4 linked regions of the Drosophila melanogaster genome follow. The protein of the gene in region 3 interacts with the protein of the main gene of each other region in a pairwise test. Each region holds a gene or a part of one and is shown on either strand. Other genes may lie near its edges.

Region 1 (7,192 bases), on a different chromosome or scaffold from region 3:
GAGGAATGGCCAAAAGAGGCAACAATCAACAATGGCCATCCCGACAGCTGCCGCGGAGATAACTCACAACGCACGACGGATCGTGAATAACTACACAATGAAGGGGCTACGATATATTTTGTATCTAAATTTTTTCGGGTGTCATAGATATGTGAGTAGTTAGGTATTTTGTGTTTTGCATCATTTATCAAGCTCGTTTCGCTGGGGTTAATCAGTAAGGGAAGCCGCGATCATCTCGATCCCTGGCCAAGTGCATCGAACGTCTATATATGTGCGGCTCGGGCGGACCTTTTGCCGGGTCGCTTTGGGCCATGTTGAAATGCAATTGGCTACGCCCAAGAGATGTTGCCATGTTGAACGGGGCGTATGAGCAATCAAGGCAAATCGGAAAGAAAAGAGTAAAAGCAACAGTGTTTTCACACGCCCCGCCGTGAGCATCGAACAAAAACACAACTAAAAACAAAATCGAAATGTGACTAGTCGTAGGAATAAGAAATACGCTGACTTGTGATAATACTGCAGGCATACAGCCAACTCATCCCCGAAATAAGACGTCATCAGCACGTGGCCAGCCATAAATATAATGAAAATAAAATCGAACCAATTATGAGATATATATATATATATATAAATAGATACACATTTAGGGATGCAGCTGACGCAAAGAGAGTGCAATCTTTTCACGGTTTCGTCATATATTTTCGTTTTCGGCGCGACGATGACGTTTTCAGCACTCGTGCCTCGGGAAAACACCCGTAATGTGAAAACTGTGTGCCGCCTAATCCGTTAAACTGGCCGATTTCATGGCCCCGCTGGCGTCATGGCTTAAATACTATATACCACAACTAGTGGATGCACCTCACCTGGTCATATGTTCTTCGGCGATTTGTTTTGCTCTGGTTTGTCATCCGATGTCGGGCACTTTTGGCGCCCATCGCCATTATGGTACTATATAGCCAACTTATAAATATAGATGTTTGTTTTGCCACGTCTAATAGTCAACTGAGTCTAGTGCATTTCGCCCTGCATTTTCACTTCTGCAATCGATTGGCAACCCTCGGTTTAGTGTTTAACTGCATTTCACCATAGAAACTAATTTTCTACTTGGGTAGTTGTTTCAAAAAACCTATCCGAAGACTATCGAAAGGATACCTATCCATATGTAGCGCATGATAATCATTCTGTAATATTGACAATTAAATCAATTTAGAATGTGCATATAGTAGATTCCTGTGAATTGAAGGCTCACATGGCCCACTTGCAGTTGAAAACGCTAACCGCAGAGTGCTTAAAAGCTGATTGCTGGGAAACACTTAATGGGCGCTAAGTTAGCCGCAAAATACAGTCGCTTAAGAAGCGGCTAACAAGTGGCTAACCGACTTTGCCGCAGCGAATGAATTGGCAAAGCCTTTCAAGCCGTTTAGTAAGCCCAATAATCGGATGCCCCACCGCCGGGCGCCCTAACACCACCCACCGAACCAACCACCCACTCGGCAATGAAATGATCGATCTATCTTTCCCATGCTTGAGCTTCAATCGGCGATGTTTTTTTTATGCGGTTATTAATAAAAATGCATTGGCCATCCCTAGCCGTCGATAGTGAGTATCTGTGTGGAAATCGGACGCACTGCATCTGTGTGCGGTGTTTATTGTGCAGCTTGTAAATCATTTTGCGTCAGGCTGCGTCCGCTGCCGTCTGCTGAAACTGCGGCGCTTTGCTGACGCTGGTAAACATGTGTACGACACCAAAAACAGCAGCACATGCTCACCGAGAGCCAAGACGGGTCTGCACACACAACTAAGGTCAAAGTGGTGGTAATTGATTTAAGCCCGTCTTTACAGTTCGGTATAGTTGCCTCAATTAATTTTATGCAAATGCACTAAATTTCATAGCATACAATTTTTAATGCAAATGATAGCTTGAAACTAATTCTGATGTAACTATACAATTAATTTTATTAATGCACTAAATTTCATAGCATACAATTTTTAATGCAAATGATAGCTTGAAACTAATTCTGATGTGCTTAAAAAAAAACTATACCGAACATTTTTAGAGCTGCCTTTAATAGTACTCCAAATGCTTAAACTTTTTAATTGTTAAATCATTTTTGAATCATAATCCAAGAATTTTTAAAGTTCTCTGCCTCATTTTCTTGACCTCTACTGTGGTTGCTCTCGTATTTTGCGAATGGAAGCTTAATATTTTCACCATTTTTATGATGCATTTTGAGCAGTTTTCATGCAAATTTATGTCGTCATTGTGCGTTGTCCAACCTACCCCCACCAGCCACGCCCCCTTTTTTATTCAAGTTGCATTTTTCAGATTTTTTCCCGACCTGCCTTCTCAAACGGATTGAGCAAACAGTTAGCTTCTTGGCCGATTTGGCAATGCGCGCTGCACATTGCGTATACGCCGCGTGTGCTATTAGCGAATTAGAAGAAAACACCACAGCGGCGTTTGAGTTTGGAAAATACAAAAAAACAAAAAACGAAAAAGTCACCAACACCGATAAGCCGAAAGGGAAAACCAAATACATACATGTGTTTCCATTGGCAAAAAAGTGGCTGTTGCCGGGTGAGCTGGAGGTGGAGTTCGAGTCTGAGTTGCAGTTGGAGTTGGAGTTGGAGGAACTGCAGCAGGCCAGGTGATTGATATCGCAACCGTCGGGAAAGAGGTTGCGGCAGGGGTAAATCAAAGGCAGAGTCGGCAGAGGCGGCGGCAAGAGGGGATGTTGCTGGTGTGTTTGGTGCTGCTGTGCGTGTTGCAGGTGTGATGTGTGTGACTGCTGGTGTGTCGGGGCATTGAGGTTCTGTCTGTAGCAGGAGTTGTTGTTGATCTCCTGGAACAAACTGCTCTCGGTGTACAGTGAGGCCTCGCACTTAATGGCCGTTGCCTGGTGGTGGCTAATGCTCGTGTTGCTGCCGCCCTCTTGCTTCACCACAATCAGCGAGGCAAGCCGATCGCGCATCATAGACCACGATTCTCCGTTAAAGAACCCAAAATTAACAATGATGTTGATGGTGATGATGGGACACAAACATAAAACGCACACAGGACGGGACAACACAGATCACACACTATATGGTTTCTAAATAGGCACCTGTTTGGCGCCCCGAGCGGCGCTGGTGATCCAGCACGACTGTTCCGAGTTGGGCTGGGATTTTGCCTCAATTTTCTTGGCTGCGGCAGGAGTGGCCGAAGCTTTTGTCGCAGTAGCTCTGATTGCAGTAGTTATTATCGGGCTTCATTTTTCTGTCCTTGCCCGGCTGTTGTTTTTGTTGTGTGTCCTTAGACTTGAACTTGCCTCCTTTTTTTTTTGGCTTTTTTCTTGTTGCCTTTCCTTTTTTCCGGCGTTTGCGCAGTGGCCAAGTGACGATGTAAGCGACGTAACGACTTACGCACGCTATACTATATCAACTGGGGTCTCTATATACATATACATATATATTCGGTTGTGGTAGTTGCAGTAGTGGGAGGCACAAGGACGTTGCTTACACTTTACACACTGATACACACACGCGCGCAATGGGCAACACAAAAACAATTACTACTGTTCTTCAGCTCACGTGCTCGTTAAAATGTTAGCAAAACTTTCAGTTCAAAAATATCTGTGTCTTGTCTCTCAGAAATGAAACGAAATTTGAATTACTATAGATTAATTTACTGCACATTCGCAGCGGGGTAAGATAGATTAAACAAACATACGCAGCGTTGCCCACCGAAATATATGCATTGTTCGCTTAAGAAAGGTAAAGGTGAAGTATACGCCGCGTTGTCAACCGTTGGAAGTTATTACGCATACGCCGCGCTGTCGACCGGCTTCCGTTTCCGCATAGAACGAATGCACGAATCGATAAAGAACAACAACTTGTTGCAATTGTTTAACTCTTGAGCACTCACACCTATGTTGGCTTTGTGTTTCGTTAATACTGAACGCGATGTTTATATAGTTGTGTGGATTAAAGTCTTAGTTGGCTGACTTAAGATCGGAAATTCAGAACCATCGAGCTCGCCTCGATATAAGTTCTATATTTTGTATTGGCTTTTCCGTGAGCGGTGGCTGTTTGGGCTAAAGTTGTTAACAATGCGGCGTCTGTGACGCGACTGAACTTATCTTTACGGTTACACGCGACTATATTCAACGCGTCGCGTCGACAGCGCTGCCTCAGCTGGCGCCGTGCTGCGCTCGCGAGAGCGAGTGAGAGCGAGAGTGAGTGTGCGATGGAGAGGGAGGGGCGACGGCAAGCGAGCGGGACACGACCTACCTTTGCGGCCCGGCTATTACGTCATTTGGGGCCAACAACTGAGCGCAGCTCGTGCGAGGAAAATCGATGACGTCGTTGGCAGAGCGCCTGCGCCGGAAAATCCCCTCCACCCATTTTCAGCGACCGATTTTCCGAATGCAGTCCAGTGGGACAGTTCGGAAGCGGAAATTATGTGCGTCATAAAACCGACGTTGGCCATCCCTTTTGCTCGCATCTGAGATTGATTGGGGCTCTTGGTGCCGTTTCACCTGCTCCGGCTTACCACTCCGCCACCCACTTTTCCGCTTTTCCAACCGCCCACTGGGTATCCACTTCTCGCCTGCTGCCAAAACTTCCGTTTCTCTCAGTTATCGTACACAGGAAACATGTTTATTAATTTCAGGATATATAAGGACGTACAATTTGTAGGAATATTCCCTTATGCACATTGTACATCATCTACACACTTGTCTTTAAATATCAATCTCTTTTCCATGTGTAGACTGTACTCTAATGCATTTATAAAAAGCATGTTTTTAATGTTGTTTGTTTTTTTATTGTTTGTCTTAAACTACATATTCTTCTCAGTGTACTAAGTCTGTGTGGGCATTCTGTGGTGTCGTTTTGGTGGAAAGGACTTCCTTGCTCTCGTGTGTGTGGGTGTATTCAAAGCAAAGGAAAATGGACCAGATTTCGAGGAATATGTTTATGTGAGTCAATCCCATGATGGTGAGCGTGGGTGGAAAAGTAAAGCTATCATGTTAAATAGGAAGATAGAAATTTCGAAAAGAATAACAAGTATCATATGGCAAGAATTCAATATTCTATTTATAGTGATTTACTACTTTTGAATTTGGTTTATATTTATGCTATATAATATAATTTATAATTATGCTATAAATATTTCAAATTGAAATTGATATGCAAAACGGACTTTTAGCCTAGAAATGAGTCTGGTTTTCCTTTCAACTTAAATCACGATTTTATATTTATCTCAGTTACCCGCTTTTATTCCCTATTTCACTCCAAGTGCTAAGACAAATCGATTTCACACAAGATCCCAGGCCAATTTCGCTTTTCCACTTAACAAAATACCATCCTGCCACTTCATAAACCAGATCACTCTTTCCTCATCCCCAAATATAAATAAGCTGCGCCACAAATCATTTGGCCGATATAACTGGCAATAACACGATCCGAGCGATTTTCCCGCCCCGCGAGCCGTCGGAAAAGCGGGAATATTAATGCACTTTACCATTGACACCGGCGTTTGCAGCTCGTAAACAACAACGAGGAAAACAATAATAACGCAAAGCCAGTACAAATCTTCTCTCCCAAGATCGGCGACACACGACTAGAGAACGGTAAACCCGAAGACGCGGCGTCGACCGCGCTGCCAGCGTCGACTGCACAGAGAGTGAGAGTCTTGGCGCTCGGCACCCGAACCCAAATCCAAATCTTCGGGATCCGCAGACTCGTCTTTGCGGCGGCGACGTCTTCTGGCGTTTAAGGTTTCGTTTTCATTCGGCTTGTCGGCTTGTCGGCATGTCGGCCGCTCGTGTGCTGGACTGCATTCGCTGTGGCTATTTTTAGACAGGTTCCAAGCCACGTTTTCTAACTGTTGTTAGCGTACGAACCGGAGATCGCGGGCTGTGCACTTGGGCCTCTCCATGTGGAAGCCGCAGACAAAACGTGAGATCGCTGAGTCGGCCGGCCGACTGCTGCGTCGACCGCGACAGAGCCGAGCGACTTGGCTTTCTGGGCGCAGTGGCTCTTCCTTTCGTTTTCGGCTACATTTTTTCCCATAATGCTTTTGCCCGGGTCTCGCGGCTCTGGGTCCGGCTCACACTGCGGCCCATTGTGGCTCCGGGGTGCGGTGTGCTGTAATGTGCCGCTCTGTGGTGTGGCTTCCCATGTACATATATATTATTGTAGTTGGATTTGGGAGCGACGCAAGTGGAACTGGTCTGTGGCAGGCACCATGTGCATTCAGCACAGTGGCTGTGGATCACTCGTAAAAGGATGATGCCTCTCCATGGCTATTAAAGAAGTAGTTTCTAGGATAATGTGGTACTACCACTAGAGGTAATGAGTAGTGTTCCTAGTTATTACTCCGTTTATTCCCGATCTTTATCTATTTTTGTTATAATCTATATCTATAATCTTAAAAGCAGCTTTAGTGGCATTTCTATATTCATTTCATTGTAATATGAGAAATGGAAATATCCACGTTACTCATTAGTGGATGTTAATGGTCAGAGTTTTAGTAGTTCCATGGCGTATTAAGCTTTCTAGAAACCGCCTCCAAATCATATGGACTCTAAGCCACTGTTTCGGCCAGCTTTCTTGCTGTTGTCGATGGTGCTGTCGCTGTTCCTTTGGCGATTATGGTGGTGGCAGAGGTGGAGGTGGTGGTGGTGGTTCCAGTGGTGCTAGTGGGGCTAGTGGTGCTGCTGCTGTTGGCTGACCTGCTGGTGGCCCCAAAAAGTGCATGCAAACAGCTTAGCGTTGGAGTCTCCTAGTTGTTGCTGCTATCGCCGATATTGTTGCTGTGCCTTGGTTGTTGTTCTTGGGCTGCTTCCAAAGCGATTCGATTGCCATTGTTGCTGTTGTTGTCTCTGGCGGTTTTATTGGCTGTATTAAGCATGACATGCCAAGCCAAGCCAAGCCAAAGTCGCAGTCTCCGTCGAAGTCGACTTTGGAATCGGCACTCCTTGCTTTTGTCTCTCTGCCTTTTGTCTATTATTTATTGTTGTGGTCGTAGTAGTTGCACTGCGATGATATTCTAAATGTGCCGAGCCAAATTCGCTTCGTTTTGGCCAAGTCAACTTGGCTGGGCCTTAATGCATGTATCATTTTCGCATCGTTGCGCCCGCCAGTTCGTGAGTTTAATTTAAGGAATTTTTGCTCTTTTTGATTGCTATTTAGGCTTTGATTTTGCTGC
Region 2 (8,056 bases), on a different chromosome or scaffold from region 3:
ACCTTCTACGTTTTAGCGAATCCAGCATAAGAATTAAACTTTTCAAGAAACAAGTGTTACCTCAACTCTTCTATTGAACTAAAAATAAAAATTAAAGTAAAAAATTGTTTTGACTTGGGCTCGTCCGGGATTTGAACCCGGGACCTCCCGCACCCTAAGCGGAAATCATACCCCTAGACCAACGAGCCAGTTGGACAACGGGGTCCAAGCCGCCAACTTCAGTCCATTGCAAGATCTCTTGGCGAGAAAACGATAGAGTTGGAGCTATTTGCTCCCCATTCAGAAACACACTATTTTTAACAAAAAGTTGCTGAGTTTGTTGTTGATTTGGTTTTTGTTTCGGTGTTCCGCTGCTTTTGCTGCCTTTCAAGTTGATTTTGCTTTTATGGCTGCCGTTCGGAGGCGCCGCGCGAGTGTTGACATCCAAAACAGATTGTTTAACATGGACAGCAGGGTAAAACAAAGAAATGCGTGGCATGTAAATAAATTAAATTTGGAACGACAGCAACAACAATCAAAACGCCCTACAAGCGCAGCTTTCAACGGAATCAAAACACGATTAAAAGTATCCAAAGTTCGGGGAAAACAGAGGAAGATATTAAATTTTCTATACTAAGCCTACTGAGGCGTTTCAATAAATGGTTTTTGCATACATGGTTTATTTTATTTGATTTCTGATTTCCTGCTCTTTTATTGCATTATTGTTTTGCTGAATATATAAAACATACCATTGGAGCACTCCCACTTCTTTGAAATGCTTTACAAAATTGAAATCCCTCAGCATTCTGAAATCAAGAACTCGCACTTCGCCACTTCATTTGACAACACTGATTGCTGAGTATTGATAAGTCTACCCCTTGGCAGCCCCGACCCTGCGGAATATCATATTCCCACATTTGTATTGGGGCCAAACGGCTGTGTTCGCAACGAATCAAAATCAAATCAGAAACAACATTCAAGTGGGTTGAAGGGGGAATGAAAACAGACATTGAAAGAATCCGCTGGAAATTGAAACAATTGAAAAAACGTTGTCGTTGATCGCTTGACAGTTGAATGCGATAATTTCAAATCGAATCAATTGAATATTGTCACAATTAATTTATTTATGAGATACACTCGAAATATCACCATTGATTTTCATTGTTGCTGTGGCTGATTGTTGCTTAAGTTTGAGTTGTCTGGTTGGTTTCAGATTTTGATATTTCTGAAGCATATTTTTTGTGAATAATGTTAGTCATTTCGCTTTGTCAGCGATTTTTTTATATGTACATACATACGTACATATGCACACATATTCATTTATATATGCATTTGAGTTGCTCATTGAATGGCAATTGATTTTTGTTATACACATTGTTGGTACAAATGTGATTTTTATTGATTTTTAATTTTCAGCTTGGGTGTTTTATGACTGTTGCCGGCGACTGTTTTATTAAGGCTTGCCCAATCAAGTTATTTACCCCACCCCTCGTGAAATTGAAATTTGCTTTTGATTTGATTTTTTAGGCTGAATACGAATCGCTGCATACAAATTGAGTGCGCTTAAAATGCAACAAGCAATGCAAATTAATAGTACTAATTTGAATTTCAAATGTGTTAGGTGAGATGGGGAAACCCAGATTTCTTCGAGTGCATCCAGAAAAAATTGAGAGCACATTAAAATACCTTTTGTCTAAAATAAAACTAATTAAAATATTTTTAAAGAATAACCTATAAGATTTTATTTATTTATTTGCCTAGAACCTTACATTTAATATCAATGATACTTATAAGAAGCAGTTCAATTCTCAGAATTAAAAACTCCTTTAGTCCCATTTCTAAGTAAGAACTATAAAATTAAGAGAATTAGACCTTGTTATGGTTTCCGGAATTTGCCACTCAGCCTTATGTAAATATAATTGAAAACCTAGTGGAGCATTATCAGCAATATTTATGACCCATATGTGAGCTAGCCAAACAGCGCAGATAACCGAAGCGAAATTATGGCCCAACAAAAAGTTTTCCAGCTGTAAAAGAGTTTGTTTCAAAAGAAAAGATTCGTGGTTTATGCTTCTAAAAATTGTTTTTTCTTGTATATTTCTCAGTTTTATACGAATGTGTTGCATGTAGTTTAAGTTATTTTTGTTTGATATTCCGTGGCTTCTTGTGTAGATCGTATTGTGGTTTGCGTACATCAAGGAGTAAATAGCAAATCTAGTTTATATTTATAGAATTTACACACAGTACATAATTATATGAAATATTCATTTTTATTTTTCGTAATTATTATTATTTTTTTTTAATTTTTTATCTCTGATTGGTTGGTATTACAAATATTCATTACACTTACTTTAAATATAAGTTGACTTAAAGAACATTATTTCAATTGTTGGTTTGTTGTATGCTTGCAGATAATCGTAATAATAGTTAATAGAACTTAAAGCGAAGTTAAACTAAAACAATGTTTGAACATCTCAGCAATGGGTTCTTCATTAACAAAATTGGAAGTTGTAGAATGTGTTCTGGCTAAGACTTAAAAAACTTTGGTTGAACTTTGAGAACAAATAAGAGTGAGTGAACTTCGTGTTGGCTGCACTTCTTTTTACCTAACAATGTAGACATTTACGATGATAGAAGAGAGTGATCCTGCTATTTTTGCGGCTACTACTGTTCTTTAGGTGGTTGATTATTTTCTGTTTGCGAAACTTAAGTGTAACTAGCGCTCTTTAAACTACAGTTTAGTATCACAGAATAGCGCAAAAGCCAGAGATGTGTCAGCCTTTGCAATCGTTTTGTGCTTTTATCTTTTTTGTTTTCCATGAAAGTATCTCAAACAGGGTTTGGAAATGGTTTCATTCTATATCTCTGGTTGTCTCTTCAACGTAATCCCCTTTTTTTTGGTATTTAACTCTTGTGGAAGTCACTTTACTGATGAGCCGCTCCCATCCTCTGGCCGTACATGGCGTATGGCGAGTAGTAGGGTCCCAGAGCAGCTGCCGCAGCCGCCGCGGCAGGATTGAATGCTCCAGCGGCGCCGAAGGGCGAAGGTCCTCCAGCCAAGGCGCCTGGTGGTGGCTTGGCGTATGGATGATACCTCGCCGCTGCCGCAGCCGCTGACATGGGACTCAGTGGTGGTGTTGGATAGCCAGCTCGGAGAGCCGATGGCGGAAATAGGGTTCCCAGCAGGGATTGAGCCTGCGATTGGGCCAAGGCCGCCGCAGCAGCCGCCGGATCGGAGAGATTGCCCGTATGGGTGCGCAGGTGGGAGAAGAGCTCGTCGGAGGTCTGGAATCGCTTGCCGCAGTAGGCATCGCCCACCACCCAACTGCACACGTAGGGTGCCGAACGGGCTGCCGCCGCGTTTGCCGCAGCAGCGGCCGCTGCCTGCGAGTATGGATGAGCTGGTGGCAGTCCGGCGGCACTGGCCATGGCCAGGCCGTATTTCTGATGCTCGCACTGGGTGCATCCGGCGGGGCAGGGGGCACCCATGAGCATTTGTTGCGTGTGCGCCGAGTAGGGACATCCCTGGCAATACGGATCCTTGCAGACTGGCACTATAGCCTCGCCGCCAGCTGGTGTCTTGATGCGCTGATAACTTATGTACGGATTGGGCTGTCCGGCTGGTCCACCGCCGGGAGCTCCGCCTGGATATCCTCCATTGGCGGCAACTGCCAACATGGCGGCGTGATGGTGTGAGAATCCTCCGGCAAACGGTGGCCGGAAAGCGGGATTGGCGTGCTGCTCCATTCCGGGCGGGCAGCACAGGGCGGACAGGGGATTCAGCCCATAGGGTCCGGCGGCCTTGTAAGCCGCTGCTGCTGCTGCTGCCGCCGCAGCCATGCTGCTCATTTCCTTGGGATGCTGGGCGGTTCCGTTGGCATTGTTCAGCACCTCCATGCCGGAGCGCACAATGGGACTGGCGCCGCGTTGCGACGATCCCGACGGGGAGACAGTCTTTCGGCTGGATGAGGAATCGTGCGCGGAAATCTCCGCCTTGCCGCCATCTGTGGGCGTGGCATTTGATTTGCTGCGCGATGGCACACGCTCCTGGGCGGATGAGGAGTTCTTAGAGCTGGGACGCGTGGGTTCCGCATCCAGCGAAGAGCTGCTCTTGAAGGAGTTCTGGTTCTGGTGGCTCAGCACATTGGTCTCGTAGGGCTTGAAGGCCAGTTTGATTTCACCGGTGCTGGTATTACTCAGACTTGCGCTGGTTGCCGTCGAGCTGATTGGAGTGCTCGACTTGGGCGATTTGGCCTGGCCGGAGGGTGACTTGGCTGCCGAGATCTCAGCACTGCCCGAGGAACTCGACGAGTTCGACGACGAGGAGCATGCTCCGGGCTTTGTCTTGTTCTTGTCCATTGCCAGCAGGGGTTTCACTGCCGACGAATCCGCTCCAATTTGGGAGCAAGTCTGTGCGAGCAGAGCCAAGGGACTCTTTTTGGCGTCCATCTGTTATGAATAAAATGAAAATGTGGAGTTGGAATTAGGTTTTTTGTAATTTTAAAGTTTTTTACGAGTTTTAAGATAATATTGATTTTAATTTGGTGAGAAGTTAAAACTATGAGAAAATGCAATTTCTTCCAAAGAAAGTTTGTTCGTGAAAGTATTAATGACGATATAAATTTTTAGATTTGAAAAATTGTTTGATGTTATGAACTTTCCAAATTTAATTCTTAAGTACGCAAAATTTAAAACCATAGATTTTACGGCCATCCCAAAATTTTACAGCTTTTAACTTAGTCAATACTAACCGTCGTTGGCAATGGGGCCAGATAATCCGGTTGAAGGTACTGGTTGTTACCGATGGTAACAACGCCGCCGCCTCCTTCCAAGACAACCATATCAGTTGCTTAGTGTGTTTTCTCGAGGGTAATCCACGTGAGTTGCGAGACAAGGCTACAAATGCGTAGCTTTGCTTCGGCGACGATGAGGTTAATCCACAGAAATGCGTCGGCAAACGTTGGTAAATCCAAAGAAAATCGGCGATTTAACACACTTGTAGTTTTGAGCAGAGAATTTATCTCTGTAGCACTATTTCAATTTGCTGGCCAAGCGATTTGTGTTTTGGCTCTGATTTCACTTTTTCACTCGAAACGAAACACTCTCGATCAGTGACCACAGTTGACTGAGGTTTCTTATTTTTGTTGGTTATATCTCTTGTCACTCGAATGGTTTTCAGGTTTTTCCGAACACGTCTGAACGCTGCGAAGTCAAAATTCGAATTGAATTCAACGACTGCGGCAGCGAGCGTAACTGCCCTCGCAGCGAAGCGTTCGCTCACTCGCGAGAGAGCGCTCTCCGGCGAGCAGCGCTGCACACTTTGGCTTGCTGCCTGCGTTAGAGGAGCACCGCCTGCTGCATGCGAGCGAGATGCACTGTGCGTAATTTTCAAATATGGCGTACTTTTTGTCCAATCACAATCGCATGCGCCTTGCAATGGAAGCCAAGACAGGTTTTCTCTCTCTCGCTCTCCGATTTGGCTTCCTGTAAAATCATAATAATATGGCTGCACCACGGCAACACTCGTCCAGAGAGCAACAGTTGAGCGCTGAGAGCGCCGCTCAGTGAGTTGTTGTTGTTGTGGCTGCTTTGGGGGGCACATTAATTTTATCTTGGCACATATGTCACGCTCACTCTCCCTCTCTGTGTCTCTCTGGGGGAACTTTTTCTTGATGGGGCTGTCAGCAGCAGCAGCGCTGCAGTGGTGGCGGCAGCGGCGCGGCAGAGGCCTCATTGTCTTCGCACCGAGATTTGTTGCTCGGAAAAGCAAACCACTCAACACTTAAACACACTCTTCAACCATTTCCATCGCCTCGCTTCGCTCGTTTTAATGTCATATAAAAATTAATTTGTTTGTCGCTCTCCCGCTCTGGCACTTCACCTCTCTCCCTCTGACCCGCTCACTCGCACAGCTGTTGTTGTGGCCTTTGTTTAGCGTTTTTCGATTAACTTCTGCGGTTGGTTTTCCCTCTTTTTTTTCGTGGCTCCTGTTTTGCTGTTTAAGTGGAAATCGTTGTTTTGTTGTCGCGTCGAAAAGTTTTTCCAAGCAATTTTTCCTCCTTCCTTGGTGTGTGTGTAATTAATCTGCACATATCAAACAAGCGAATGTGTGTTGTGGCATGTTGCACTCAGAGAGTTGGTAATAGTTTAATGGTTTGGTTAACTCCGCTGCATTTTTAATCGCTCTACAATTGGATTGAATTTTCCAGTTAGCACTTGCCTAACTTACTTATTTACGTTTCGCACGAAATCGCGTTAATCACGTTGCTTGGTTTCAAGATAATTACTGAATACTAATAATGTTTAATTGCAAAACGAGGCTGATTTATATTAAATTATTAAGAGCTAATAATAGGCTAGCTCCTTCTAAACATAATTGATTACTATTATTTAAGTAGTTAGAAAATATTATGTGACTAATCATTTAGATTTTGTTGATCTAGATCATTCTAGCCACTTTACCTAACCGATATTAAAACTCCAACGTAATCCCAACCAAATCGGTTGGACTAACCATAAACTATGTATCAAGATGTTTAACTCAAGCCCCGAGGGGATTTTGGAATATCTGGCCCTTGGGATATGTTACCTAATCACCAAGCTGAGTTTTAAGAACCCTTCAAAGCCCCTGGCAAGTAAATTAAAATCTGTATAAATATGGACGATAAGCCGAAAACCCAGAAGCGACACTTTTAATCCCGATTTAGAGTGTTTAGACATTTTTCTGTGGGAATCCCTAAGCCGAAACCCGGCAGCGAAATACCTTCGAGGCTAAAACAGGTAGAGGAAACACTCTCGGCCTTCGGCGAAATGATGGATTTATTAGTTAAGAGCGTGCTGCGATACTTTACGATACGGCTTAGACATAATTTGCGGTTTTGCGTGCAACAAAGCGAAAAAAGTGTTGCCAAAATAATGTATATACGTGTATATATGCATGTATACTGCTGCAGAGTTGGAGAGTTTACGCACACGTTCCATAGCATTTTCTCTTATTATTTGTTATTTTTTATGGCCACTTTGTCAGCGTCATAAATTCGCTGCTCCTGTATGTGAATTATTTACTAGCAAATTGCGGGAGTGGGCTGAAGGTAAATTCAAACCAGTGGCCGGGGGTGTCATATAAATAATACAAAAATATTATAAATTACACGAAGCCGAAGAAATTGCCAAGCGGAAGTGCGGAACACCTTGATACCGTGACTAAAGCGATTTGCTTTCAGACTAATGCTCACCCTGCAGCATTTCAGCGTTGATAACTTCATTTTATTCAAAAGGAGGTCGTGTAGCGAAGATTACAAATATAAAAAAAAGCGTAATTTAAATTACAAGGTACGCAGTTAAAGATGCAGCAGTTCTATTAGGTTAACAATAATAAGATCTGAAATAAAAAACTATATTGAGCTTCTAGTTATATAGTGCATCAGAGTCCTTTAAGACTAAAAATCTCGTTTTATGCAACTATAAGGAGTTTCGAATTCGAATACTCTCGATATCTTCGCCAAAGTTGTAAAGGAAAGCGCCGAGAGATATCCAAATGTAGTGGGAAAAATTTGTAGCCGCGAAAACATTTATATGGGGAATATAAAAAGGAAGTATACTGGATGCCACAACAACAACTACAACAACAAGAGCAAGAACAACAAGCGGCGGAATGGCAGAGGCAGCACATAAAATTAACCACATATTTCTTCATTTTTATGGCATTTATTATCACAGAAATGTTTGTGTGATAAAAGCGAAGCAGCGCAAAAGGCGAACGACGACGATGGCGGCGCAGTCATAAAAATGCAGCCATTTACCTTTTGATTTATGCACACCAGTGGGTGGCGGCGGGTGGTGGATGGTTTGCCTGCGGCAAGAGTGGGTGGCACGCATGCAGAGCAACTGGCGGGCGAAAGGAGCGAAAAATAATGCAATAAATTTGACATTATCTCCGGCAATATGAAGGTATATATATATCCGTGAAGTGGTTGCCACTGGTAAGGGAAAGTCGTTTAACTGTCTGCGGATTTTTAGTTGACTTACGCACAAAGAAGAACTCCCAAACCGACCCACGATAATTGCTTTATTTTGC
Region 3 (7,274 bases):
GTTTATTGAGCCGAGTTTCGCAACAGCCTCGTCCTGCGTCCTTCGGAAATTTCTGAACTGTCAACATGTCAACTGTTTGCTGGTCCGCTAAGGTTATTTCTGTGGGTGGAGTGGGTGGCTGGGGTGGCTTGGGTGGCTTGGTTGGCTCTCTCGCTCTTTTCGCTTTTTCGGCCTGTTTAAGCGATTTAACGCATCGCAAGGATAATGAAATTTTGATTATGCGCCGCTTGGCTGGTTGTCCTGGCACAGTGCCGCCCTCTGTGGGGCGGATTGCTGGCTGGGTCGCTATGAAATTAGCGTCGTTTAGGAGGTCCTTTGAAAATTGGGGAACGGAATTAAATTCGGCGAGCTGCTAATTATCGTTGGAAAAGGATGTTTGTGCAGCTGTATCTCTTTCTGAGTTATTTAATTAGAAGAGTGCTTAAAATGTTAATGACTTAGTGCCTTTAGTTTGAATACGAGTAAAAGAAACTATTAAATTTGATCATTCCATTAATAAAACAGAATCTAGCGCTGTTCTCGTTTCCAGCTGGTATAATAAACAATTTGCCGACTGGGTAATTGCTCACTCTCGGATACAAACAATTATGCAATTCAATTCGGAATTAATTGCACAATAAAACACCAAATTCTCATTTAATTGCCTGACAAAAAAGGCACACAAAGCAAAGCGGCAACCCACATAAATATGCAACACCCACACACAAACACACACACCCACTCAATCATGGCCAACTACATATATACGTCCAAATAGCCCCACCTCTCATTCCGCAGCCATAGCTTCTACAATCAAACTGGAATCGGAATCGGTCGGCGGGATATATAAATTCGAAAAATTATGAAAAACTATCAAAACATTTACATACGCTCGTTGCGGGGAAGGAAAGTGAGGAAAACGACGTGATCTTTTCGATCCACGCACTTAGTGTTGGGCAGCAGGCTTTTTATTAGCCAAACCTAGCTAGTTTTCAATATGTTTCAGTTAAAAGTTTTCAAAAATTAACAGAATCTGTTCTAAAGCATATTTCTGAAGTTATTTCAAAGTGAACATAATATTTCTTGTTTGTTGTTTCACTGCAAGACATAACAACTTTATTGGGCAAACATAAATTGCACATTTCTAGTCACATAAGGTGAATATTTTTTTAATATATTTTTTAATATTTTATTAGCTAGTTTTTAAAATCTATCGCAGTCATCACTGCACGCACGCAAATCGGCGGCCATTTATCAAATGACCAACTTGGCCGAAGCGTGGACTTTGTTGGTGCTTTTGTTATTGGCCGACTTGCTGCTGCTTTTGCCGGTTTCGTTTCATCTCGAAGTGGTGGGATCGAGAATAGGTGGGGGGAGTGGAGGGGGCTGGAGCTCGCTTATGATGTTTATTGAAAAATTAATTTGCGCCTCGTTGTTGTATTGCTTTTTTTCGGCGCTCATTTGCGTATTTCAAAGCGCAATGAATAATGATGGTGGTTAAGTAGTGGAAAATAAAAGAAGAAACGCTCGACGTGCTTGGCCTGAGAAATTAATATTTGTAATTGGCTATAATTGTTTATGCCAACGGCACAAAGTATAGAAAACGAGACGCAGACAATGATATTAACGAGCTGAGGGGCCTCTCATCGCATTTTGCCGCCATTTCGAAATGTTTAATTGAAAAGAAAGCGGAATTGCCGGGCATCGTAATGAAGAGCTCAAGTTTTGGGAAGTTGGAAAAATTTTAATCAGTCAAGAGGGGCGTTGGAAAAGTGGTAAGAGGTATATCAAGTGTTAATTGAATGGCTGGGAAATGTGAGAAGTTCATAAACGAGTTTACTGTCTTGGTTTCTTTTAAGTGTAATTAAAAACGATTTCGGAAAGAGTTTGAAAAAAGTTCAGAAATTATATAAAAATATTTCTAAATTTCACCCAACCCATTTAGGCAAGAACTCAAATTAATTGGCTAGAATTTCCCCAATCATGCAGAGTCGTTTCATTTTCAGCATCGTTTGCAACTAATTAAGGCAACCACACAGCCATTCGTCAACTGTTCTAATTGAGCTCTTTATTTTCCACCCACTGGCAATTGTCATTAAAATCCTTTCACCAACTTGCCGCCCGAAAAGCCGAGCGAACCCGCACAATCCGACGCCCATTTCCCATTTTCACAACTTGGTCCTTCGAGCAGCGGAAAACAAAGGAGCAGCTGAACAATGGCTGGCAAAAGTTTTCAAGCCAACAATTTCACATAATAATCCTTAAAATGAGTTTAATTTGTAGAGCGAGAATTATAAAGGGTGCGGTATTCCCGCTCCCTCCCTCACTCCACCCGCCAACCTTGCAATTTATGGAGCTTATGGGGGTTGGCAAAATTCTATATAATCCTGCATATTTCACATTTATATGTATGTGATTGATTCGGCCGGGTTCCCGGGACGTTCGATTTATGTGGACCGATCCGATTTTTATGGCTTATCTCCTGAGGTGGAGCAAAAGGGAAGAAAAAACATAATTTCCTGACCGAGATTGCAGCTTTGCGATAATGCCGCTCCACCCGACATTTGATGCTTTTGGGGCCCTGATAATGATGGGCTTATTATTTATTATATTGTTCTTGTACGCTAAGGACATGTAGGAGTGCCAATTAAAATTGAAAAACCGCCTGGTCTATATATACATACATATATATGTACATATTAGGCGTACATAAAGCTTAAAAAATCACGCCAATTTGGCCAAATGAAGTCATAAACGATAAAGAGGGAGATAGAGGGAAAATGGAGATGGAAGGAAAAGCCAGAAAACCAAAGTGGAAATGGACAGGCGTTTGCCGCCGCTGCTTGTTATAAAATGCTAATACGCGCAGCAGCTCGAAAAAAAAGTGGAAAAACGCTTTGAAGATTGAATTATTCAATAATAATTAGGCGTGCGACAGGGACGGCTATACTGCGGGGCAGCTACACCATCTCTGTCTGTACGGCAAGAGTGCGGCAAACTCACCACACTGAAGCGAGAGCGAAAGAGAAAAGAAGGCGGAACAAAAGTCAGAAAAGTGGAGAAATACAAGACTCACACCGGAAAAAAAGAGCGAGCGAGCTAGTCTCGAAACCAATAAAAATGGTGTCGCACGCGGTGCACTCCACCACGGGAGTGAGAGAGAGGCACGCTCTACACAGCCGGTTTCCCACCACCAATCGTCGAGTGCGTCGGTGTGAGTGAGTATCTGTGTGGCAGGCAGCGGTGCATCCGAAACTGCGACCACAGTTTCAGTCGCAGAACAGACGTGATCTCAAGAGGACGTGTCTCTCTCTGGAAATAAATAGCCCCTGAAAAGATACAAAACGCCGCGTGTGACAGTGTGTGTCTGTGTTTCCCAAGCGTGTGACGAACGAGCGCATTAATTGAAAGATAATCAAAACAAATTAACAGCAGACCATGTCTCAATGAACCAATTAACCGGCGCACCTAAAGCACAGTATTAACGAGCCACAGTTACACAAACGATCGAAAGGCTTTATGTTAAAGCTCAGCCCAGCGAGCATGACAGTTACAGGTCTGCGCCAGACGATGACCAGTCCCACGGTGCCGCCGAGCAGTAACACTCCCGCGGGTAACCTCATCATCACCAGCAGCAGTAGCAACAGCGGCAGCAACAGCGGCAGCAACATGAGCAGCGGCAACATGACCAGCAGCAACCTGACCAACCTGAGTCCTAGCCACCCGGCTGGCCTGAATGCCCTGGCCAGTCCCACCTCGCCGTCGGCACTGCTGCTGGCCCATCAGCAGCATCTGCTGCAGCAGCACCAGCAACACCAGCAGCAGCAGCAACAGCAGCAGCAGGCGGCGGCGCTCCAGCTGGCCGCAGTGCATCCGCCGGCCCACCATCTGCACAAGACCACCTCCCGACTGAGCAACTTTAGTGTGGCCTCTCTCCTGGCGGACACGAGGCCCAGAACGCCACCCAACCAGGCGGCGGATGGACCCCAGAACCTGACCAGTTCGGCGGCCACCTCGCCCATCTCCCAGGCCAGCAGCACGCCGCCGCCTCCGCCGGCCAGTGCGGCCGCCCAAGTTCCCGCCAACACCTTCCATCCCGCCGCCGTCGCGCACCACGCCCACTTGCTGCAGGCCGCCCACGCGGCTGCGGCGGCACATGCCCAGCACCAGGCGATGGCCGCCCAGCTGCGCCAACAGCAGCAGCAGGCGGACGCCCGGGCCAACTCGCCACCCGCCTCCACGAGTTCCACGCCCAGCTCCACGCCACTGGGATCCGCACTGGGATCGCAGGGCAATGTGGCCTCCACTCCCGCCAAAAATGAACGCCATTCGCCGCTGGGCAGCCACACGGACTCCGAGCTGGAGTACGACGAGGAGATGCTGCAGGACCACGAGGCCGATCACGACGAGGAGGAGGACTCCATTGTGGATATCGAGGACATGAACGCCGACGACTCGCCGCGCTCCACGCCCGACGGCCTCGACGGCAGCGGCAAGTCGCTGGAATCGCCGCACGGTCCGCCGCCGGGCTCTCACATGCAATCCACGATACTTTCCCCGGCGGCCCTGGCCTCCGGTCATGTGCCCATCCGCCCGACCCCCTTCAGTGCACTGGCCGCCGCGGCGGTGGCCTGGACGGGAATGGGCGGTGGAGTTCCGTGGCCAGGAACCAGACAAATGCCGCCCTTCGGACCGCCTGGCATGTTTCCGGGAGCAGGATTCGGTGGAGGTAAGTGTCGTTATCCAGTTCTTTGTGGGGTTTTTGTCAGCTTGTTTTCGGTTTTTGTACTTCCTAGAGGGGAAATGATAAACCTTATCTGTTACATGTGCTTAACTGTCCTGTCCTAAGCGATATTTTAAACTCATTTGCAATGGAGGATTCAGCATGGGCATAATTAAATAATGGGAAAATAAAAATATATATAGGAGAGAATATAGAACTCAAAAGGTTTACTTCAAAAAAAATAAAAACAACCTCAACTCTCTTTCGAAAATATTTTCAATTTAGAGCCTTAACATCAAAGTAAATATGAGTGTATATATAGTTACATTTCATATATTTATTTATAATTAACTGTAAACCCATAAACATGAACTTCTGAACCCGTGAACAATAGAAATACGCGAATTCCGCTTGGGAGCAAATTCCCCATTAGCAGCCAGCGATGTGTATTCAAAAACGATTTATTTAATGGAGGAATTTCAAACCACCCACCCCACCCCTCATTGTTTTATGCCCCATGTGCGGTGGCAACTTTATCTACACCATTTTGTGTCGCATTTTAATTCAATTAACTGCCGCCCCTCGCCTTAATTGGCATCGATGGTGACTCTCCGCTCCTGGTCGGACGCGAGCTGCGGGTGCTCCATCATGGCCACCTCGTCGTCATCGTCATCATGGCTATGGAATGGAAGTGATCGTGACTGCAGTTTGTAGTCAAAGTGCGTGGCAATTATTGCGGGGCCTTAAATAAAACAATGAAAACTGCCTGATTGCGCTGGGCCCATTATTTGATGATGATGATGATGATGATGGCTGATGGCTGATGATAGTCGCGTCGGTTCTGATTTGACTCAATTGGCCACGTCTGATTATTCATTGCACTCGCTGGCCAGCGGCGTTTTTCGGTGTTTTCCGGTCTGACAGCCAGCCAGCCCCCCATTACCGTTCCCGAATTGGAAAATCTAATAATAAGCGCGTAAAAAGCGGACTGTCTAACCGACCAGCCAGACTAATTGAAGCGAGTCTGGCTGTTTAACTGGGCGATCTCTATCTGCATGCACAGTTCACACTTTGCCTGCATTTCCTGGACAAAAAGCACCGCGGGTCGTAGGGAAAAACTGGTGGAAAATCGGGGAAAACACTCGACAAGTCACACTTTGATGCCGGACTGACATGTGAACTTTACTCGGCCATCGCGAACTCTGCGTTTCCGCTCCTTAAAGTTGCTCAAACACATTCGAAAAACTCGGAAAGGGCGGTGCAAAAACGGTGGGCAAAAAAGTGTAAATTTGCTTTTTATATGCAGAACAGCAACTATTGTTCCTGTTTTTGCTGCATATGCTCGGGTTTTTCTTGCCACTACAAAGCATTGTTTTATAAAGCTGTCGGCTGTGTTTTGAAAAAAAGGGCTTCAAATGGGGTGTTGTATTAGGAAATTTGGGCTTTAAAGTAGGTTAGTTCGAGTATTACCATATTACCGCCTCATTCAAACTATTAATACATGAAATTCCAGAACTGCATCTCTAAAAGTGCTTTCATAAATTCCAAAATATTTCAAAAGGGAACTGTTCAACAAATCGATATAAATCAATCTCGATGTGGGCCATCAATTCACCGCCCTTCATCAACCACTTGAGCTATCTTTCGTTCCTTCCCTATAAAGATGCCGAGATGAATAAACTATTCCAAACATTTGCCGCTTATTTTGTCATTTGGCTGTCAACTGCTGCATGTGTATAAAATACAGTCGAACAACTTCATTTCATTTCATTTCGTTTCGTTTCGTATCATTTGGCAGCTGTTTTTTTATTTTGTGTTGTTTTCTGGCCCTCAGTCTCGGTTTCAGTTTCTGGTTCCTGTGTTCAGCGTGTCTCATTAGCGCAGCAGGTTGCTGTCTTCTGTGGACTGATGATCCCCTGTTTTTCCGGAGGGTTTCCCTTCTGACCTGCGCCGCTATCTTCTGCGGCATTATGTCAAGTGTTAGGTACTTAGTGCCTTCGGCAAATGCTTAACTGGTAGATACAGGTTGTATCTTTTGGCTACCGTTTGTCGGCTACTTCATGGACTATTAAATTAAGCTACCATCGATTAGAGGGAACACACACACACACACACATAGTCAGTCGGCTTGAAGTTGTATGGTTTTTTGCCCTGCCATTTGATTAGCATCTTCGTGTTGCAATATGGGGAATTCCCTTTGTGCCTTCATAATTTAACTAATTGCAAGCGCAGTCGAGTCACGTATGCTGCACATGCCACCCATTTTTGCCCCCTTTAACCCCTCGACGGCCCCTGTTACTCAGCCACCACGCATTGCAGCTGCAATTCTTGGCAGCCATTATAGAAATTAATTTTCAAGCTGAACAAACGAGCAACAACTTGGGAGTCATTGCATAAATACATAGAGCCAGGCACACACACACATGCACACTATGCTTTATGGCAAGAGAGCGAAAGAGAGAGGGCGAGAAAACCTGGCCAAAACGGTGGGTGTGGCATGTCAGCAACGCCCACCCAAAACACGCAATTTTCAACAGCAACGGCAGCAATTTAAACGTTGACAGACGGCTGC
Region 4 (10,503 bases), on a different chromosome or scaffold from region 3:
CTGTGGCATCGACGACAGCCTACGCCAGTTCAGCGTGGAGGGCAACTCCTACACGGACTATGTGGTGAAGCTTAACTGCCAGCCACGTGGCTTGGCCATTTTGCGCAACGAGAACATCATTGCACTTGCTTGCATCAAAGAGTTGACTCTCGTGCAGGACCAGAAGAAGATCTTTTCGCTGCCCATTAAGTACGAGGCTAGCTCGATTGCCGTTAATGCGGACACTTCCGATGTTGCTGTCGGCGGGGATGACCAAAAGTTGCACATCTACACCCTGAAGGGCGGAGTATTGGAGCCCAAAGTGGAGCTGGATCACTTGGGAGCTGTCACGGATGTTTCTTATTCGCCGGACTTGAAGTATTTGGTGGCTTGCGATGCCCATCGCAAGGTGGTGCTCTACTCAGTGGAGGAGTACAAGGTATTAAGGAATCATAAATGTCTTAATTCCATTACTAATCGAGTGTATTTTAAAAGCCTGCACACAACAAGGAGTGGGGCTTCCACAGTGCTCGCGTAAATACGGTGGCCTGGTCGCCCAACTCGCTGCTGGTTGCTAGTGGATCATTGGACACTACTATCATTATCTGGTCCGTGGCCAATCCGGCCAAACATACTATCATCAAGAGTAAGTATTTCAAAAAGAGTAGTAAGCTTTAAGCGATATCTGACATATTGTTTTCTGCCCACTCCAGATGCCCATCCGCAGTCGCAAATCACTCGGTTGGTCTGGCTGGACAATAACACTGTGATCTCCACCGGACAGGACTGCAACACCAAGGTGTGGCACGTGGAAAACATTTAAATGCGCCGGCCGTGAAGCATATTTTTATACTTATCCAGGGAGAGCAGCCAGCAGCGCCCTGGCTTCATTTCATTTAAGTGCAACAGTTTACATTTAGATATTTATGTCTTTTTCCCCGCCCTCCCCGCACACCTCATGTCATGTCTTTAATTTTAAGCCAAAAGTGTTTGCTAATCATCATATCATGGATATTCAACTACTTTGCCCCACTATCATTTTCGTATGTGTTTTTCGAACAATTTTTATACTACTGGAACTACGAACTACGAAAGGAAACACAAAGATATGTAAAGTACGCCAGCGTACATAAATTATTGTATTATGAAATGAAATATACTAGTTTTTGCATAGCTCGCCGATTACTTTTCTCCATTTGGTTGCGATCGGGAAAATTAGCTAAACACGCACAATTTCTTTGGCTTCTTAAACATTTATTCCTTTGAAAATTGTGTTTTTTTTTTTTTTTGGTTTGGTAGGTCTTCACCCTGTCTTTTTGTGTGCAAGTGTGTGTGCGTGTTCAGGTGTATAATTACAATATTTATAAAAACTTGGCTTAGATTACTAGAATGTGTGGACGTGTGCTTGTGAGAGAGCGTGAAAGCGAAAGGATTGTGTTTGTAACTTGCAGTTTGAGAGCCTCGGAGGTTGCTAAAGTTTCAGAAAAAATAAACGTAAATTGTGCTAAACGTAAGTACATAAATTAAGATAGCTAGAAAGGCGCTCGAGTGCAGAAGACGAAAAACGAATTGCGCTAATTATCACAGCCGGGTCTAAGACGTTGGTTTCGGTGGGACTAAAAGTTGACATATTCATATGTTGGGCACCTCATGAGTGGGTGATGAAAATTGGCTCCTCTGACATTGTTAAAAAATCCGATCATACTTAGTGGTAAAATAATGGGGCTAGATGTCAAAAAATAACGAAGAGCGTAATCTTTCTTACAAAAATCAAAGTTTGAACTTGAGATATTTTAAATATACTTTCAATACAAAAAAACATTTTGAATATGCAAATTTAAATGGTTTTGCAAGTGTTTTCAAAATGATATTATTAAGCTTGATTACGCTTGCTGATTAAATATTTTTGAAATTGGATTCGAAGTTCGGAAACATTGAAATTGAAATAGATTCCACCACCCTTGAGCGGATTTACAATTGGAGTCAGGGATCAGCCCTTTCCTTCCACCACTCATCGGTCACCCAACAATATGCGTGTGCATGGGTGGGCGTACTCCTTGTGTCTGTGTGCGTGTTTGTGTGGTGAGTTGAACAAATCAAAAATATTCAAAAAAATTATCCTCAGGTGGTTGACGCCGATGCCTCTACACCGGTCGCCTCTCCGTTGCTCGCCGTCGGTGGCTCCCGCTCACTTTTGATGCTCGGTGGCGCTTCGTGTGCCAAGTCTAGCGATGGTTGACCAGAAGCTGGCGAGGATTCGGCCACTGCTACGGCTGCTGCAGCAGCAGCCATCTGAAATTGATTGGGCAGGAAAAGGTACGGATTCCTTGCCTCCTGACCCGAACATCCAAGTGTGGTCGCTGGAGCTGGACCCACATCGCCACTGGTGACCGTGTGACTGGCGCTCATGGACATGGGCGTGGAAGTGGGCACAGTGGTCGCTGCTAGCTTGGAGACCCTCTTCCGGCGAGCCTCGTTTTCACATGGCGATGGCGCCCCAGGATGTCGGTAGCTAACGTGCTTGCGCAGGGCATCCTTGCTGCGGGACACATGGGAGCAGACATTGCAGGCATACCTGATGGAATCGAAAAGTAATTCCAAAGGTGACTTCTATTGTTTTATAACAATTAAAATTCAGACCACTTACCGAACATTCTGATGGGTTTCGAGGTGGACGCGCAGGTTGTATTGGTTGCTCAGCTGCTTGTGGCAGATGAAACAGGTGGCATAGAGCTTCGAGTTGGACGGCGGCTTGATGGGAGCGGTGGCCAGCGACTTGTCGCGGTCGGCGCTCAGCGAGAGCAGATTGGGCTCCGACTTGGCGCTGACCAGCGCCATTCCGCCGGCGGCCGCTGCCGCTGCTGCTGCCGCCTCCCGCTGATACTGTTCGATGTGGAGCTGCAGCTTGGCATGATCCTCGGCCGAGATGTAGGGCGATGGCCCGGGTTGCGGGTGGTGGTGCATCTGCGCCGCCTGCTGGGCGGCAGTCGGCGTGACTGCTGCACTATAAAGTGGTGGCTTGCTACTATAGAGTTGACCTTGGCCGAGAGCGCTGGGGTAACTAGCCGAGGAGCACTTGACCACCGGCAACTGAGGGGAGAAGTGTGCCATGGTCGGGGGAGCGAGAGTTACTGGTGAAGTGGCCACAATGGGATTCGGGTTGGAGCATTCCTGAGGCGACTTGCTACTGCTACTGTTGGTCGTCGATGAGGATTTTGGATTCTTTAAAAGGCTTTTTTCCAGTCGCCTAAGCTCCTTCGGCGGACTGTCGCCCTTTAGCCTCTTGGAGCCAAAACAGTCCGTCTCCAGTTGATCCTCCTGCATCCCGCTCTGGTAGAGCTGACATTGCTGCTGATACTTGGCCAACAGCTCAGTGGTCTTGTTGAGCGCCGTCTGCGAGAAGTTGAGTGGTTGGGGCAGCAGACTGGGGTAGAACTGCAGTGATTTAAAGAGATTCTCCAGGGGCGTGGTGCCCATTCCACTGGAGTTCACCGATCCCAGTTTGTTGGCCAGGAGAGGGGTGTTAAGTGCTGCACTTGGTAGCTGGGGCAGGGGGAGTGAATGGCTTGGGGTAGGCGTGTGGGAGGGCGTAAGGGTGGGGGTGGGCGTGGGCGAGGGTGTGGTGGGACGTTCAAACTCAGAGGACTTCTCATTCGTCGTATCCATGTAGGAGCCACCTCCACTTCTCGCTGTTTTTGGTAACTGCTTGGATTTATGAGACCAAAGAGAAAGGCGTATGAGTTTCAGGGAAAAACTACAAGTTTATTTAAATTATCTAACTAGATCTTGCACTTGAGCTACTCACATTGTTGTTCTGGACATCGGCCAGTCCCTTGATGCCCAGTGTCTCGGCCAGGTTGAGCAGCATCGGTATCTGCTCCTCGTATACATTCACCTCTCCGGAGTACATGAAGGTGAGCAGTGAGACGATGGCGCCGAAGCTGGCCCCTGGTATGATGATGACTGGATGGTTACTGGCCTCTAGAGCCCGGAAGATGTCCATAAAAAAGCTGCTGCAGGCACTCAGTACCACGCGATGGGCCCTCAGTTGGCGTCCCTCGGCCGAAATGGTCACATCCGTCAGATGGGATTGGTCCAGCAGAATGGGCAGAGTGCTCAGCAAACTTGTCTGGAAGGGATCAGAGGGAATGGGGTTGGGGATGTGAAAAGTGCTCATAAGTGGGTCACACGATCATAAAAATACAATTTCCTGGGCCCCATGATGCTCCTCTGTCTGCGGTGTAACAGGGGACAGGGGTTGGCTGCAGCTGCTTTCCAACTTTTCGATTTACTCGCTGTGGAAATTCTTTGGATTTTGGCAATTGCACGAATCTGTTCATTTATGTGACACACACACTGAACACTCCTCCTCACTACTCTTTGTCCATTTGGCTGTTTTGCTATTTTGGACAGCCAGTTTCACCGCTGCCCCGCTTTCACCGCATTACACCCTTTGGGCCGAAACACAAAAATTGTCACTATATGAAAATGCGGAAAACTATGTGTGAATCTGTACGTATAGGGGAATGTGTTTGGATAGATGGATCCTATATATAGATGCGGCGACATTTTACTTTCGGCCTGCTCGCTTCACTGAACGATGTCCAGTCCATTCTAATGGATCTTACTTATGAGGTAATGTTGAATATAGTCCCCCCACAAATGAAAATTCAAATGAATTTTATCTGGAGGATCTCACCTGATGGTTATGCCATCGCAGGCAGAATTGCTGTTGGCTGTCATTGTGCTGCAGCTGCTGATCAAAATGATGATGCTGCGGTTGTCTGGCATTAGTGCTATTTACATGTTCCATAATTCATTTGGGTTTGGATCACATGGACCAGCTGCAATGGAAGTAAGGGGGTAAATGCAATTAGTGAATGTGCAAGATGTCGGATGTCGGAGAGGTAAACAAATTCTATTCGCCTTGCCCCAGCCCACTTGGCTTCTTTGTTTTCGTTTCTCATAATTTGTTTGTTTGCATTTCGGTTTGTTTATTTATTGAACGTTTTGTCACACACACTTTTCGTGTCCGCTCTTCTTGGCCGCCTAGAAGAGCGTCTGCACCACGAGGCGTATACGTATTATGTCGTAGCAGTTGGCTTATTACTCATACGCCCCGTTATGCGCAATCTTGCGGGTCGCGGAGGTTGTTTGTCATTGGGGACCGGGAAACGGCATAATTTGATTTAATGACAGCCTGATCCATCTTTAGATTGCTGCCAGCTCCTCCAAGGTATCCGGATTGTCGAGTACTCCTCTATGTTTTGATGACCAAGTCAACGGGCTGATTTACTCGGCCGTTTCGGTGAGTGCCCAGTTGACGAATCGGAATTACAATAAAACAGCACACACACAGACGCACAGACACGGCCAGTGTTATTTGTGTTCTTTGCTGGCAATTAAACCAAATTTATTTAAATAAAATAAGTTTTCCTTGGCTGGCCTGGCCTGGGCGATCTGATCGCAGTGCCACTGTGGGTTTCTGGGTACACTATAAATTTGGCAATTTCCATTGTTCGGATCGCATGTGATGCACTGGGCGGGCGGGCGGTTCACACTTTTGTCCGAGGGCTATTTATAAGAAGCTAGTCCAAGGAAGCTGGGGTGGGTATGTCGGTATGTGGGGGATTTTGGGGATTTCTCGGTCTATGCTGCTGCTGCTGCTGCTGCACCGACGACCATTGGAGGCCCCCCAAAAACAGGCAGCCCGGCCAATGCAAATCCGCAGCGAAGTGACAAGTCCGAGTCTTTTGGTTTTCTTTGCACTTTAGCTAGCCCAGCGTGCAATTGTTGGACGACGGAATTTTCTTCATTCCATTATGTGTGCACATGGGACTGAGAATCGCATCTAAGCATTTCTCTATTGAGAGACGATGGATGGTGGAGGTTGCCTTGCCATGCCATGCCTGATGGGGTACAATGGATGCCTGGCTATGGGATTGGAGGGATGGGGATTGGGGTGGATGGCGACTCGAGATGGAGGGTCGGAGGAGGAGCGGCGCGGCCTTTTTGGCGCTCGTTCACACAAGAAAGTGTTGTCGTGACAGTCAGGCAGCCTTCTTTTCCGTAACTCTTTGGTATTTCGCTCAGTTTTTACTTGATTTTCCGAAATTAGTTTTTCAGCCTTTCAGCTCGGCACCTCCTTCTCCTGTACCGTCCTCTGGCTGTTGTTTTAAATAGCCATCCAAAAAATAAAGATCTGTGCTAAACGCTCTCGCCATGCTGTCTATTTTGATTTGTTGTCCAAGTGCCTGCCTTTTGTCATCCATGGCAATTCATTCCAAAGCACCTCGCAATCGTTTTCATTTCGATTTGGATTTGGCTTTGCCTTTAGCTTTGGTTCATTTCGAAGCTATTTCGTTGATGCGTAATATTTTACACATAATCACTCATACGCCTCGTTGAGAATGTCGAGGGAAGTGGATAGAAAATGAAATCATGCTTAAGCCTTCGCTGCGTTGCCTTTGTTATTGTTGTTTAACTTTCATTTGTTCCATGAAATGTGGCGCACATAAATTTGATGTCAACGCTGTTTTTTTCCGAGAGGTATTTGAATTTCAATATAGAATTCGCACGATCAGCGGTATATGTGAATCACGCATAATCCAGTGGCCCAGCATATCTGCCCCTGGGGAAGTCTAATAATAGAGCTCTATGGCTAACCCTTATGGTTGAGGATCTCGAATTGACTTCTTTTATGCTAATGGGATGCTCGTGGCGATCATCAAATTGAATATTTTCCCTCAACTCATGTTATTTTATGTAGTGTTTTTATGACACGCAGTTTGTTTTTTATCTATCTTTCACATTGAAGATCTCCTTTTGTGCTCGCAGCGACATTACACAATTTACTTGAATAATTTAATCACTCGGTTCTATGTTTATCACTGGGTTCTCGTTAAACGAATCCTTCACATTTTTGTTTTATTTATTTTTCTCTTTTTCTAGCTTTTCACACATATTTTGCTAATGCCATTTTCCCCGCGTCCGTTACGAATTTTCCCTTTCGCGATTTTCGCGACGGGACAAGCGTGCACCTTTGTTAACCGTTTGCTGCTCGCATCTGAAATGAAAAAATCCGAAAATGTTTCAATTCTTTCGGTTTAGTTGGAGATTTTCTATTTTTCGAATGTCCATCTCTTGACAATTTTCCTCTATCTTGTGTTGCTGTTGTTGGTGTTGTAGCTGCTGCTGTTGCTTGTTGGTGTTGCTGTTGGCCCAAATGTTGTTGCTGCTGCTGTTGCCATTTGTTTAGCGGATTCGAATTTGGCTCTCAGCATGTCGGGCGGATCCGTTTGTCGCCCGATTCCATGTTCTTTAATTAATGAGCAGGCCGCATCGGCGCAGCGAAGAGAAATCTCAGCGGTTTTGTACTCGCGATCAGTGTGAAGCCTCTTGGCCAAAAATTAATTGGCTGCCCCGCAGTTAGTTAATCAAAACATTTGCCAGTGGCAAATCATCATGAGGGCATCATCATCATCATCATCATAATCAGGAACTGCGACCACTCCGCCACTAGACACAATTGACACGACTGGCCGACAGGCGGAGGAATTTGTTGGTGCAGCGGCGGCTGCTACTGTTGCGGGATCGTGTGCATTATTAATTTGCAATAAAATGTGGAAGCGGCGACAGCAGTTGCCGCCGTTTGAAAATTGCCCGCCGAAAATAAATTCATATACCTGCGCGTTGGATTTGTGAATTATGCCTGACAAATACAAATGGAACCGCCAGATGGAGACGCCGTTGGTCATCGGGCACCCAGCACCTTCATTATGCACTTTTCAATTCATTAAAATGCCACAAATACTTATTTATTATTGTCATCTGTGCGCACCTCGATTTGGGTTAGCAGCCGCGTAGCTTGGAGGCTGTAAATAGCTCAATGTGTATATAAGCCCTTCACTCAAGGATAATTCCTTACATAAAACGTACGTTAAATGTCAAAGTACCACTAACAACTATCTAGTTGACTGACAATGCAAATGCACACGTGATTGCTATGTACACTCTAAGAAAGAAAAATAAAGTGCATACAGGAAATTATTCATTTATTTTTGATTATGATCAAAGTTAAAGCCTCATCTTAAGAACATATAAATAAATGTATAAAAGTTAATAAAATGATTTGAAATCAACCTACAGATCGCCTAATCTAATCTAATTTATTTAGATCAAAGTTGAGCTTCTAAAGATAAATCTAGTAGCTATAACTAAAGCACTGAGCCTCGCTGCTAGGCTTGCATTGCTTTGTAGGAAAGTCCCAGCCATACTTGTAAGGACATCTCACAATGGTCAGATAGCCGCTGAGGCACCTGTAGTAGTACTCGCACCGCTGGGGATGAGGATGGTCACCATCTCCGGAAATGTCGCAGTGCGGCCTTTCCTGAGCTGGAGAGGAAGGCTTTGCAGATGGGGAGGATGGCGTAGCAGATGTAGTCGGTGGCTCAGTCACTGAAGGAATTGATTCTGTAGGGGTTGTTGTAGAATCAGCTTGGAAAGTAGAAGAGTCCGCAGATCCTGTAGAGGCGTAATCAGAAGGCGGTGTTGGAACGGGAGTGGTTTCTTCGATCCCGCTCTGCTCCTCACCAGTAGTTTGCTTATCGGGCTGCTCCTCAGTCTGGACTGAGTCTGAGTTCCTTAGACACACACCCTCATCATCAAAGGCACACTCTTGGGTTCGATCGTCAAAGTAGGTGGACTCGGGGCAGCTGTCTCGGAAGGAGTCTTCTCCATTGCAATAGATGTATGAAGCGCAATCTTCGATGGCCATGACAAAGGTATCCAATGGAGCATTTGCGCACTGCGGGAAAACTTCGGCTTCAATTGAAGTGAGATATCCTGCCAGGATCAGCAGACAATGCAAAGATAGTTTAAATGACATGGTGCTATTCAGTTGGTTCACTTTATTGATAGAGATGAGGTTTGGCGATCCCTATTTATGGCAATTTTCAAGCCTCATTGCGAAACTCTTATCGTTACACTTGTGGTTGATATCTTCCCAAATAACATGTTGCCAATTTTTATCTTTCTACCAATAAATATGTCAAGGGCGTCCAATGACTTAGTTGCTATGATAAAACAGTACCAAGGTAAATATTGTACTTTTAGACATTTATACTCTAGAAAAGAGTGGTACTTTTTACTATATTATTTACAATAAAATATTAGATAAATAAAATTATGCCTTGTATCACCTTTCCCAAAGATTTCACCTATCAACTTGAAGTGGGTTGAAAAACTCAAGAACCTTTAGAATTCTTTGCAAGCAATATTGAGAATAATTCGTTTTAGCTAAGCATTTATATTTGTTGGCAATTTTTGATAAGCGATTGTTCCAAATTGTGACTCTGGCTTCAAATACACATTCGTCAGTGATAGCCTGCTGAGATCGTAGTCCAACACATCCAATTGCTGCTCCAGTTGTCTCTTGAGATTCCGGACTCGCAATGTGCCCACGGTAAGTGGCAATCGGTTGTATTCCGCAATCAATTGATTTTGCCGCTTACGGACGGCATCCATTAGCACCATTCTCTGCTCACTGGTTAGCAGAATAGGTTGGGATTCCTCAGGTGAATCCGTTTGAGAATTCTCCGGTAGTTGGACTTCCGCTTCATTCCGCTGGACCTCTACAACTGGTAGCTCTGCACAGGACTCTTGCGAGTGTAAGCTTAGTATATCGTCTGGGTTAACATCCACCACCTCGGGAATGTCCATTTGGCGGACCCTTGGAGAACTTGCCTTGATGGATTGCGAGCAGATCGATGCCTCATCATCCTGTTTTCGGCTGGAAGAGACACAATTGTCCAGGTAATTTAAACCGCCGGGCAAAATGCCGAACGTGTTAGCTAACGGCCGGTGCATTGTGCATTGCCCCGGCTGATAGCCATCGCGTTGTTCCGGCATTTTGCCCAACTCAAAATTGGACGCAGTCCGTCGCAGTCGTAGCCTTTCGTCCAGAAACTGTCCTCCCCTGCCGTCCGCAGGATCGTCGCCCTCGCTGCGGGATTGCAAGTGGGTATGAGTCTTCTCCGAGCACTTGAGCAGGGCGGCACTGAGAAACCGCTCATCGCTGATGTCCTCCGTTTGAATCTGCTTCTCGGATAGCTTCCGTTGACTGGGAACAACTTTTGGCCCTGTTCCGCCATTCAAGCCCCTCTGAGTAGCGGCCAAAAGTAACCTCACTGGTCCGCAGCATCTGGCCATGGACGAGGCGGTGGGCATCTGGTAGTTTGGAGACGCCTGGCTCACCATCATCCGGTTCTCGCGGAGAAAGTTGCGTGATGTGCCCATCGAAGCCCGTTTCATGGCCACGAGAATCGAACAAAACAAGAGATGAAAAAGAAAAAGAAACAAATATAAAAACAAAGAACGTCGGTTATTGTTTCGGGAGCTACAAAATTATACTGAAAAATGATGCTCAATATTATTTATCAATGAAGCTTTAGGCAAAACGGGATCTGATCTCTTTCCTTACATGCAAACCAAACATTGAAAACTAATCAAAAATCAATAAGATCG

What was found.
Region 1: the proteins of Dr (region 3) and Hr38 interact in a two-hybrid assay, tested with the Drosophila melanogaster proteins (one large-scale study listed by BioGRID).
Region 2: the proteins of Dr (region 3) and noc interact in a two-hybrid assay, tested with the Drosophila melanogaster proteins (one large-scale study listed by BioGRID).
Region 4: the proteins of Dr (region 3) and CG32121 interact in a two-hybrid assay, tested with the Drosophila melanogaster proteins (one large-scale study listed by BioGRID).

The regions. Positions count from the first base shown.
Region 1 is NT_033779.5:20,710,495-20,717,686, forward strand, and holds the start of Hr38 (hormone receptor-like in 38), read right to left. Parts: upstream 4,095-7,192; 5' UTR 2,976-4,094; coding exon 2,543-2,975; intron 1,807-2,542; exon of another isoform or gene 708-1,806; intron 513-707; exon of another isoform or gene 1-512. UniProt on the Drosophila melanogaster protein: Binds to NGFI-B response elements. Plays an important role in late stages of epidermal metamorphosis.
Region 2 is NT_033779.5:14,488,010-14,496,065, reverse strand, and holds noc (no ocelli), read right to left. Parts: upstream 5,208-8,056; 5' UTR 4,821-5,207; coding exon 4,731-4,820; intron 4,429-4,730; coding exon 2,905-4,428; 3' UTR 2,047-2,904; downstream 1-2,046. UniProt on the Drosophila melanogaster protein: May negatively regulate Notch-induced cell proliferation in the eye-head primordium. Required for development of the supraesophageal ganglion and ocelli.
Region 3 is NT_033777.3:29,553,138-29,560,411, forward strand, and holds the start of Dr (drop), read left to right. Parts: upstream 1-3,248; 5' UTR 3,249-3,498; coding exon 3,499-4,708; intron 4,709-7,274. UniProt on the Drosophila melanogaster protein: Plays a key role in the specification of proneural and promuscular cluster formation. Required for the specification of dorsal and lateral muscle progenitor cells. Regulates development of peripheral nervous system derived from lateral neuroblasts.
Region 4 is NT_037436.4:13,415,303-13,425,805, forward strand, and holds CG32121 (uncharacterized protein), read right to left. Parts: upstream 7,035-10,503; 5' UTR 7,020-7,034; intron 4,824-7,019; 5' UTR 4,793-4,823; coding exon 4,679-4,792; intron 4,109-4,678; coding exon 3,785-4,108; intron 3,682-3,784; coding exon 2,627-3,681; intron 2,555-2,626; coding exon 2,101-2,554; 3' UTR 1,274-2,100; downstream 1-1,273. Other genes in the region: flr (flare), read left to right, coding at 1-418, 475-625, 693-802; CG33263 (uncharacterized protein), read right to left, coding at 8,183-8,866; CG14106 (uncharacterized protein), read right to left, coding at 9,277-10,290.